Linked DNA regions of Mus musculus. The protein of the gene in region 2 interacts with the protein of the main gene of each other region in a pairwise test. Links are inferred from orthologs where the notes say so. Each region holds a gene or a part of one and is shown on either strand. Other genes may lie near its edges. The genes, in order: Nek6, Tasor2 and Erh.

What was found.
Region 1: the proteins of Tasor2 (region 2) and Nek6 interact in binary tests that used the Homo sapiens proteins (3 or more experiments, as listed by UniProt). The link is inferred for Mus musculus from reciprocal best matches to the Homo sapiens genes TASOR2 and NEK6.
Region 3: the proteins of Tasor2 (region 2) and Erh interact in binary tests that used the Homo sapiens proteins (3 or more experiments, as listed by UniProt). The two-hybrid records come from large-scale screens. The link is inferred for Mus musculus from reciprocal best matches to the Homo sapiens genes TASOR2 and ERH.

The regions. Positions count from the first base shown.
Region 1 is NC_000068.7:38,560,096-38,563,748, reverse strand, and holds part of Nek6 (serine/threonine-protein kinase Nek6), read right to left. Parts: intron 2,869-3,653; coding exon 2,758-2,868; intron 1-2,757. UniProt on the Homo sapiens protein: Protein kinase which plays an important role in mitotic cell cycle progression. Required for chromosome segregation at metaphase-anaphase transition, robust mitotic spindle formation and cytokinesis.
Region 2 is NC_000079.6:3,565,971-3,569,623, forward strand, and holds the end of Tasor2 (protein TASOR 2), read right to left. Parts: coding exon 3,518-3,653; intron 2,888-3,517; coding exon 2,782-2,887; intron 1,648-2,781; coding exon 1,466-1,647; intron 1,063-1,465; coding exon 948-1,062; intron 698-947; coding exon 694-697; 3' UTR 65-693; downstream 1-64.
Region 3 is NC_000078.6:80,634,110-80,637,762, forward strand, and holds part of Erh (enhancer of rudimentary homolog), read right to left. Parts: intron 3,502-3,653; coding exon 3,381-3,501; intron 419-3,380; coding exon 316-418; 3' UTR 1-315. UniProt on the Homo sapiens protein: May have a role in the cell cycle.

The DNA.
Region 1 (3,653 bases), on a different chromosome or scaffold from region 2:
GGAAGACAGAATCCACGTCGGCCATATCCAAACACATCTGGGAGTTCAGTGTGGGGCTTGAGCGTGGCCTGGCTTTACTGAGGACACACAGACAAGGTTCAGGGGAGGCAGGTGATGGGGCTCCACTTTAGGGGCTAGAGATGAGGACCCATGCAAGCAGGGACATGTGGGCCTTGAAGGAGAAGCAAGTATCAGAAGCTATGGGTGAGGGCTTTTCCACTTACAGGCTGTGCTGCCTTTGGCTGGACACTAAACCTCTCTGAGCTCAGTGTTTCAGCATGGCTGTGGCTGATGGCAGCACTCTCCAAGTGGAGCTGCCATGTCCCTGAAGCCAAACCTATCTATGGTAGCTCCACTCCTGAGACCTGGGATGGGGACAAGAAAGCTTAGGAATATCAGAGAACATGGCACTGAGTTTTAGGGGGTTAAAGTTGCTTAATCCCTCACAGAGCAGGCATGGAATCCTCACTATGGATAATGAAGACAACACCTGTCCAAAGGCTGTGTAGGCTGTGTGGAGACCATGACCTCCAGCCAGTGCCAGGCCTGGTAAACACAGTTCCTCTATAGTGGGTGTTCTCAGACAAGGCAGCCTTTCTAGGCCTCAGTTTCCCCTCCTATAGGAAATGGCAGCTGGAACCAAAGGATATGTCATTTAATGGGCCGCTACATATTTTGAATTAAGAATCTGTGGTTCTGTTTAACAGGGGCTGAAAAAATGGCGGTGATTAACAAGGGACCATAACCGCTAAAGGGAAACCTTGCTTTGCTGGTCGGCTAGAGCTGAGCACTTAGTAGTGATTAAGAAGAGACCAGCATCACTGAGGTGAAACCTTGGAAGTGTTTCCTGAAGATCAACACAGAGGACGTGTGTTCAGAGGCACCCAAGGTTGTACCTTGTGCTAGTAGCTGAACTTTGTAGTGTAAGAGTCACCCAGGTAGCTCCAAAGGGATGCAGGGGTCATGGAGAGCAGCCAAGGCTTGGCACGATGAGAGGACAGGAAAGGACAGTGGTGAAGGTACAGCCAGAGTAGCATCTAATGCCCCAGAACTGAAGGGGTCATGAAAAGAGTCTGAGCCTTAGCACCAAGAAGAGAGCCCAGGAGGCGCAATTGGTGCAATCCAGTTGCAACAGAAGACTCTACAGTTTGAGATGCCTGTACCATGGGAGAACCAGCAAGAGCAGCAGCAGCAGTGGAGTGGACCCAGTCAGAGCCTAGAAAACCATTTGTGTATGCTGCAGAGGGTGGAGCCTGAGAAGTGACCCAAGCAAGCCCCTGAAGGAGTCCAGAAGACCCTGTGTGGATTCCAGACATTGGACTTGAGTTATTTATATAGTTGGGGTTTGGTTTTACCTTGTTCAGACTGTACCCTGGTTTTTCCCCCCTTGAAGTAAGGAAGTATTTAGCTTGTTTATTATTTTACAGGAGCCCACAGTTAAAAGACTTTTAATTTTTAAAGAGTCTTGGAATTTTTAAAGAGTCTTGGAATTTTTAAAGAGACCAATTTTTTGTTTTGTTTTTTGCTTTTTTGAGACAGGGTTTCTCTGTGCAGTCCTGGATATCCTGGAACTCACTCTGTAGACCAGGCTGGCCTCGAACTCAGAAATCCCCCTGCCCCTGCTTCCCAAGTGTTGGGATTAAAGGTGTGTGCCACTGCTCGGCAAAGAGGCCAGCTTTTAAAGTGTTTGAATTTGTAAAGACTGTGGGGTTTCCTTTTTAAGTTTGTAAAGTGATTTCTATTATTATGATGACGTTGGTATTAATGTATGATCTTGAGGATGACTGAGAAAGGAAAGAAAGGCTGTGCGCTTAACAGTGATGTGCTTGTGTGTCGGGCTGACAAGGAGTCAATCTATGTCAACTTGGCACAAACTGGAGTCATCTGAGAGGAGGGAACCTCAACTAAGAAAGTGCCTCCATGAGATCAGGCTGTGGGCAAACCTGTAGGGCATCTTCTTAATTAGTGATTGATGTGGGAGGGCCCAGCCCACTGTGTGTTGGTTGGTGGTCCTGAGTGCTACAAGAAAGCAGACTGAGCCAGGCAGTGGTGGTGCATGCCTTTAATCCCAGCACTTGGGAGGTAGAGGCAGGTGGATTTCTGAGTTCGAGGCCAGCCTGGTCTACAAAGTGAGTTCCAGGACAGCCAGGGCTACACAGAGAAACCCTGTCTCAAAAAAACAAAACAAAAAACCAAACAAAACAAAAAAAGAAAGCAAGCAGGCTGAACAAGCCATGAAGAGCAGGCCAGTGAGCAGCACCCCTCCAAGGCCTCTGCATCAGCTCCTGCTTCCAGCTCCTGCCTCAGCCCTGTTTGAGTTCCTGTCCTGACTTTCTTCAGTGATGAACAAGGATGTGGAAGTGTACACTAAATAAGCCCTGCCCTGTCCAATTTGCTATTGGCCCTGGTGTTTCATCACAGCAATAGTAGCCCTAAAACAGAAATACAGTCTGACCTTTGGAGGTGTTCACTGTTCCTGTTCCTTCTGCTGAGAAAAGTGTCCCCAAGTGCTCTGGGCTGGAGCAGTGTGGCTGGCCCAAAGGGTCCCTTCTGTGTACCACAACCCGCACCCAGGCATCATCCTATACAGGCATCATTCTGCCTTGTTTGTGCATCCCCCTCAAGCCTGAAAAGAAGACAAGGGTACCCCACATAGGTGCTGAGGTCAGAGCCAGGCCAAGTTATCGAGCCTCCATAACACCCCCAGGCCCCGCCCATGCCCGTTGAGAGGAGGCTGCCCTGCTCCAGGCCCCTGACCTTGATCATCTGTGAGAGGTCACCCGCGTCAGCCAACTCCAGCACAATGTTCAGCTCATTGTCTTCGATGAAGGAGTCCAGATACTTGATGATATTCGGATGGTTCAGTTGCTGCACCAGAAGGGGGAGTGGCCAGCGATGAGTGGCGTGGCTCCAGTGCCGCCCCCCCACCCCCACGGCCCCTCCAGCCTCTGCTCAGGCTCAGCTCCTGGCTTCACTGAAGTGAAGCATTCCCTGCTGCTCTTTTGTTCTTTCTCAAAGTCTCAGAAGTCCCTTGGAAACTAAGTATCCTTCCCACCCTAAGCGCCTCTGACTGACTCTCTCACTCATGGACTCCAAGATGAGGAAGTGGGTGGAACCCAGGCAGGGTGGTAAAAATCAGCTCCATCTGGAAGAGGACCCTCCCAGGTGGTGACCTACATGGCTACTGGGTCTTGGGGAGCAAGAGAGGATTCCCAATACCACTACAGCGGGGTTGGCACTGCTCAGACAGCTGACAGCCAGGGTCTGACTGACAGCATGTTTTCTAAATGCTCCAGAAGTCTTTGAGCCCAGCTAGTCTGTGCCAGCAGGAAAAGCTGCTTTCTCAGGTCTAATGAGAATAATTGAGGCCAAAGATTTGAGTTGGTATGGCTTGTGCGAAGATCCCGTGTGAGGAGAGGCCAGCACGTCCCAGGGGATGCTAGGAGCCATGGGACTGGGCATAAGGTAAAGTGGAGGTAGGGACCTCGATACCCCGAAACTCTGAAAATACTCAACAGATCAGACTGCATTAGACCCTGGATTATGTATTTATCAGTATTGATCTGTCAGCAAACCTATGCACAAGACCTTTCTTGATGAGGTAATAAGGTGTGCTAGTATTGTCTCCCATTTGTGACTTGGATTCTCATCTT
Region 2 (3,653 bases):
GTACAATTCTTTCTTAAAGGTATCCTGGTGATGGCCTAAATGTTGCACACAGACTACAAATGACTGCATTTTCAATTCTTTATTTAAAAAAAAAAAAAAAAGACAACACAAAACAACAAAAAAAACCAAACTAGAAACTAGGTATAAAAGCCTAAGTATACAAATGGTTTTTTTCTTGTTTGTATTTTAAAGATTTAAGAAGTTTCTAATATCATAAATAAAGGATTTCTTCCTCAATTGACTTTTGTAGTGCAGCATTAAAAAACCCAAGTGTAAAAATTTGTCATTTACAAAAAATTTTCTTTATCTATGTAGTGTTTCTTACGTAACAGCAAATAACCATTACAGATTATACTTTCTACAATGTGGTAAAACCTCTCAAACATGCAGTTCTTAATCCTCTGACCATATGCAAAAACAGCTATTTCTCAAAATAGACTTAGCTTTAGCCACATAAACGTGAGGGTCTCAAGTTTTAATATTTAGATCAATTAATAGTTCTGAACGCATTATGTTTAGGTTGAAAATAATTTACAACAATATTCAGCATTATAACCCAAAGCTAATGCTTTGATGAGAAGCAAAACATTATTCAAATGACAGTTGTTTGTATGTATGTATTTGGAGTTTTTTAGACACAGGAAAAATATGAAGTTCTTGTTGATGTACTCCATGTATAGCCAACTCCCAAAATTACCTGTAGGAACACAAAAATGGTAAGAAAATGAGCAAGAAATACAACTGGGACAATAGGGGGGAAAGGCCTATGTGTCATATATCAGTTTACCAGGTCAACCCAGACTGGCTACAAGTGACATCACTGGACAAAGTTAAAGCTGGCTGATTAATCAAAGAGCAGTTTTTGATCAGCATTTTCCCCCCTCAGTGGCAGATACCTGCTGCCAATAACTCCAGTTTCCAAGGGGAGTTTTACAAAAAGTTCTTACCAATAACTACTCCTAAATGGAGCTGCTATCTTTTGTATATTTTCAGTGAAGTAGTTTACATCTGTAACAAGGATTCCATTATTTTCAAAGATTTCTGTGGAAACTGTGGGCTTGTCTGTAAAGGAAGGGGAAAAAAAATCTATGATAAAAGGCCAGGGTTTTTCATTTGTTCAAGGTAGCAGAATTCATTAAAGTGAGAAGAGAAATGAAGACTTCAGGGCAGGATGGGTAGAGGGAAGGGATATAAGCTACAACTGTACCAGCTTCAGAAAGCCAGACAGTCCACCTAAGACTTAGAAGATGTGATATAGTAAAACATGCATATGTAGGACCTGATAATTAGAAGAGTGTTAACTAGACAAACACTCCTTGGCAAGCATCCTCTGGACTTACAAGCATTTGTCAAAACACATGCTACTAGCTAAGGCATTCAATAACTAATTAGGAAGGATATTTCTACAGCTGTCCTGGGGTAGCATTAACTGAGTAGTGAAGATTACAATTTAGCTTATATTTACCTGTTAGGAAGACAGCAAACCTGGCACTGATATGTTGAATTTGCAAGTTTAACAAGCATTTAAAAATTTCAGCTTTTGTTGATGATGGAGAATCACAGTTGTGATAATGAAGTAAGTCAATGATATTTACACTCTGATATGACTTTAGAATTAGATTCTTTTTATGTGCAATTGAATCTACCCTGTAATATACAAAGAAATGTTAGTACCTTTTCTTGCTTAAAATTCATTTTAAATTGTGTATTTGAGGTTGAAAAGGTATACACGTGAATGTAGGTACCCTAAGAGTCCAGAAGAGGGTGTTTGCTTTCCTGGACCTAGTTTTAGAAGCAGTTTAGGCCATGCTGGGAACTGAATTTGGATCATCTCTCTTAACTATAGAACCATCTCTAACTGTCTTTCATTTTAAGTAGTTGTATTAAAACACTTGGTCAACAAGCCTGTGCTTTTTTCTTAATGATCTTGTATTTAATGTCCTGATTAGCTGCCTCTAAACATTATATAATAATTATATAATAATGACACCTTTGAAAATAGATTGTAACCTTGGGCCTCATTCCAAGGCCCAAGTCACAACCCATGTAGCTTCTGCCACTTCAACCATTTATGTTAGCAACTTCAAAGTTCTTAGGCAGTCATACAAATAGAACCACTTTCTCACTAGACTTAGTGGACGTTTCCACTTATTATATCAATGCTAGGGATATGTGGTGGAGTCAGTCAGCAAAGAACCTGCTGGGTAAGCATAAGGATGTGACCACAGAAAATGCCAGGTGTCATAGCACACACCCAGGGTGACAGGCTCACTGGCTAGCCAACCAGCCTGCTGCAATAGATGAGTTCCATGGTTAATGTGACCTCTCAAAACATACATTGGACAGTGACAGAAGACATCTGATGTAGGCCAAGCTCCATGCAACCTACACAAACACGGGCATATACCACACACATATAACAGATCATTGCTTTAGATTAAGGTGACTTGCCTCCTGTTAATCTGTTAAACCCTGACAACTCAATATATGACTAAGTACCCACAAAAAGCACTAGCACTAAGCTTACTGCTCACTATGTCTGCAGCTTATGGCAGCAGAGCCTGACTTAACTGTGGGTGTTAATCCTGACTCAAAATGTTGCTATAAATACTTTGCACTGAATGCCCTACTATAAAAACCAAATCCCAAAGCTAACCAGCAGACATAAACCTTAGGAATGTGACTCCCATGCTAACACTACTTTCTGGCTGTGGTGCTTGAATTACACTAAGCACAACAAACATTGGACCAGGGGCTCCTGCACCCTTCACACACACTGACCTGACGTCTTCCTTGAGATTTTTACTTTCTCTGTAGTGAAGCAGCCACTTCCATTTGCCATTTTCATTTAGTTTTTCTAGGATTTTGAGAATTTCCTTCAGTTGAACTGCAGAGTAAGTTAAGTATGAGAAGAAGTATCTTAGTTTTTGTTGCAAGGTCCATTGCCACTTATGAACAACATTTGTCTCCACTGGCAACATCAGTGACTCCACAAACTATTCTATCTGGTCATGCTATAATGGCAAAGATCATTTTATAACATGATCAGTGCACATTAATGCCATTAGGGAATAGAGATTGCCACCACTTTTTCAGATTCACTGCAGTACAGAACAGCATTCATCAGGAAGCCAAATGACCACAATACAAGCATGTAAGTGAGGAAAAGAACCTTCACTCACTGGGGAAGGAACTGAAATCTGAACAATTTAATAATTGGTCTAAATTTCTCTGCAAATTCTAGAAATATAGTTCCCAAATGAACCAGCTATTATACACCAAGGTTATATATGCAAAGCCTTGGTATCTAGCTTGTGTTACATGTTTATTGGACTCTGTTCACAATAGCTATGAACATAAATGTCCATCAATTGAATTACTATAGTAAAAGCATGTAGTGCAGCAATTGGCACAAATTAAGCCCTCAATATACAGTAAGTGATTTCTTTTTGATGAAACAGTATGTCACTGGAAGAAGAGAAACTGAACTAATTAGATTTCAAAATTAAAGACTAACCTAATGTTAAACTTTCTAGTATGACATCATCTGATACCACAAAGCCGCCTGATCGAAACAGCTCTTGGTAGGTTTCATTTACAATGTCTTCAGGGCTGTCCACTCCAGCAAAGACGACACTGGGGAAATGCTTTAG
Region 3 (3,653 bases), on a different chromosome or scaffold from region 2:
CCCCACAAAGGGTTAGTGCGCTCACTGCTTAAAAGCAGACTCGACAGTTTCAAGGACCGGAACCAACCTTAAATGGCAAAAATGTTTTCTATTTGTATTATCATAAAAATGTTTAAGTAAAAAAATGAAAGTAAAGGAGCAAAGGGCCACGGTGGCTTCAGAGTGACAAGATCATTCACGGTTCATGTCAGACATTCAATCTTGGCTTGAGTGTAACAACGTTGAAACAGGATCGCTATCATACAAAAGGTTCACTACAGCACGCTGTATGTACCTGTTCCAAGTCCACCCCCAGCCCCAATGCTTCCGACTCAATTACTTCCCAGCCTGTTGGGCCTGCCGACGGAGGAGCACGTAGATCTTCTCTTTGATCCAGTCTTTGTTATACGGCTGGTATGTCTGTGTATCAGCTCGGTAACTGAGAACAGAAAGTTACAGCGGTCAGTTAGAACTGCCCAGGGTGGCTTCAACCTGCACATTTTTACACATGAAGAGAACCAAAAGTGGACAATGCTGCTGTGGGTTTTTTGTTTTGTTTTTAAAGGTTTATTTATTTTAGGTATATGAGCACAGCTGCTCTCTTTCAGACGCACCAGAAGAGGGCATCCCATTACAGATGGTTGTGAGCCACCATGTGGTTGCTGGGAATTGAACTCACAGAACCTCTGGAAGAGCAGTCTTTACCACTGAGCCATGTCTCTAACCCAATGCTGCTGTTTTAACAAACAGATCTGTATCACCTAGTATGATCTGATGGTGATAAAAGCCAAGGCCCAGAACTCTGAAGCACTCAGTTAACACACTTTCTAACCAAAAACCTTGTGTTTTTTCCTACTACATAGCTTCATTTTTTATTGATCTATTTTTTATAATTCCTTTAGTGATTAATAGCAATAGCTAAACACTAGTACAAGGTTTAGGTTTGCTCAACTTATTCTAAGAAATCAACTAAGAAATCTCTAGTAGAATATTAATTCAATAATGATTTCCTGTTATTTAAGGAACTCATAGTTTTTAAGATTTGCTTATAAAAATAAAAACCAAAGGCCTACAGATGAAAATATCAGAAGAGCATCTCTTTTAGAAGGGAAGGGGAAGGCAGGAAGACTTGCAGCAGCAGCAGGTTTTCAGGGTCTGCAGTACACTGAGTCAGTCAAGGTTATCTTTATGAGAGTTGAACAGACACTTTCCAGCTGGCCTGAAACTCAACTCTATGTGGAGGAATACACACTAACGCAGCAGTACAAGGATGGAGAGACAGCTTAGGGAGTGGTTAAGAGCACTGGTTGCTCTCTATCTAGAGGACCTGGGTTTGATTCCCCAGCACCCACATGTAAAGATCACATGGGTCTGCTGTGACTCCAGTACCAGGGGATCCAATGTCTTCTGAAGGCACTGCATGTACACAGTATACAGACATATATGCAGACGAAAATACCTATACACAGAAAATATCAAACAAACAAAAATCTGTAGTATAACAAGGGAAGGAAAGCACCAGGTGTGGTGGTATAGAATCCCAGCACTTGGAGGCAGACAGATTTGAATTTGAGTCCAGCCTGGTCTACAGAGCAAGTTTCAGGACAGTCAGGGATACACAGTGGAACCCTATCTCAAACAAACTAACAAACCTAAAAGACAAACTGGGGGGAGGGTGCTCGAAAGATGGCTCCAGAGGACCTTGGGTTCAATTCCCAATACCCACACAACAGCTCATATCCATTTGTACGTAACTCCAGTTCCAGAGGATTTGACACCTCTCTTCTGGCCCCTGAGAGCATCAGAAATACATGTAGTTAACAGACATAAGATGCAGACAAGACAACCATACAAATAATAATAATAAAAATAATAAATTAAACAAGTGATAGTATGTTTTAAAATTAAAGTTAGCCAGGTGGTGGCACAGGCCTTTAATCCCAGCACTTGGGAAGCAGAGGCAGGTGAATCTCTAAGTCAAGGCCAGCCTGGTTTACTACAGGGTGAGTTCTAGGACAGCCAGGGCTAAACAGAGAAGCCCTGCCTCAACCCCCAACCCCACAAAGTTGTTACTAAGCACAGGATATTACTTTAAGTATCTGAATTAGCTCTCTTCATCTTTCTTTTTTTTTTTTTTAAAGATTTATTTATTGATTATATGTAAGTACACTGTAGCTGTCTTCAGGCACTCCAGAAGAGGGCGTCAGATCTTGTTACGGATGGTTGTGAGCCACCATGTGGTTGCTGGGATTTGAACTCCTGGCCTTTGGAAGAGCAGTCGGGTGCTCTTACCCACTGAGCCATCTCACCAGCCCCTCTCTTCATCTTTCTAAAAAATATTCCTGTAAGTAGCTACAATTATGTTTAAAAATAAAAAGGAAGTAAGAAAATCAAGGGTGAACGTGAAGCAACCTAATAGCCAAGTGGTGCTGGGCAAGATTCATTTCCCTCAGATTATAAATCTTGTCACCCACTATACACAGTACAGCTCAACATCCAGGCATCAGAGCCCTCACCAGGATCTACTAAGCTAAAAAGCTACACTATTATGATTCACAGCACTGAAGACTGAAATGGGGCTTCGTGCCTGGTAAGCAGGCAGTTTACCCTGAGCTATACACACTCAAGTCTACACTAAGTTGTCTAGCCTTAAACTAAACTTTCCATCCTCCTGCCTCACCCTCTCAATTAGCTGAAATTATAAGCCTGTACCCCCCGCCCCCATGGGGCCAATTTCCAATAAGGAAAATAAACTCCAAATAAGGAATGCTAAATAAACTCCAAATAAGGAATGCTCTATATTACCAACACCAATTTTTTCTGCAGTCAGGCCAGAGGTCGTTTACTACAGCGCATAGACTTCCCATTGTCTAACACGCCTAATCAAATATAAACAATCAGTTCTTTACTAATGCTGTTTTATGGAAATTTCCAACAAGTGAATAATTTCCTAGGATCACGCTCTGTTCATATGTTCTAATTAAATAAGTGCCAATCTAGTCTATAGTCTGGTTCAAGGTGTACCACTTTACCTCAGTACTACTGACAATAAAATGTAACAAGCACGTCAGAATCTGAAACCTCACACCAACGAAACAAAACAAGCCCTGTTTACACAGGTAGGACTAAATTAGACTTTAAGAACAGACCCTTGGTTTTAATCTGAAAACAATTACTTTAGGAAAAAGTAAAAGGGCTAAGAACCCAAGACAAGGACTATCCCACACAACGTGGAGCCCGTCTATCCTCACCTCACGCTAGCAACTGCCAAGCCCCTCATGCCTTCAGCTCTATAGTATCATTTTAACTTTTTATTTACATGTAAGTGAAACACTGGCAACTATATAAATGGACAAAAACCAGAAAAATACAAATTAAAAGATATAGTGGCTAATACTTACACCAGACAGCTGAGGTCTGCCAGATCGTCAATAAAATCAAACAACTGGCTGATATCGTATGTGATGGAAGGGCTGTTGGGATTCATCCTCTTCAGATGTTCTTCATACATTTTACAAACACCTGTGGGGGAGCACGAGAACGTAAGCAGCGCTGTATCTGCCGGAGGAAGATTGACCTGGAAAAGGACTGCTGGCTGGCCACTTTAATTTCTGTGATTAGCAATTTAAATTTATGACAGTATTGATAACTATTTTGTGCTTTATAATTAGATG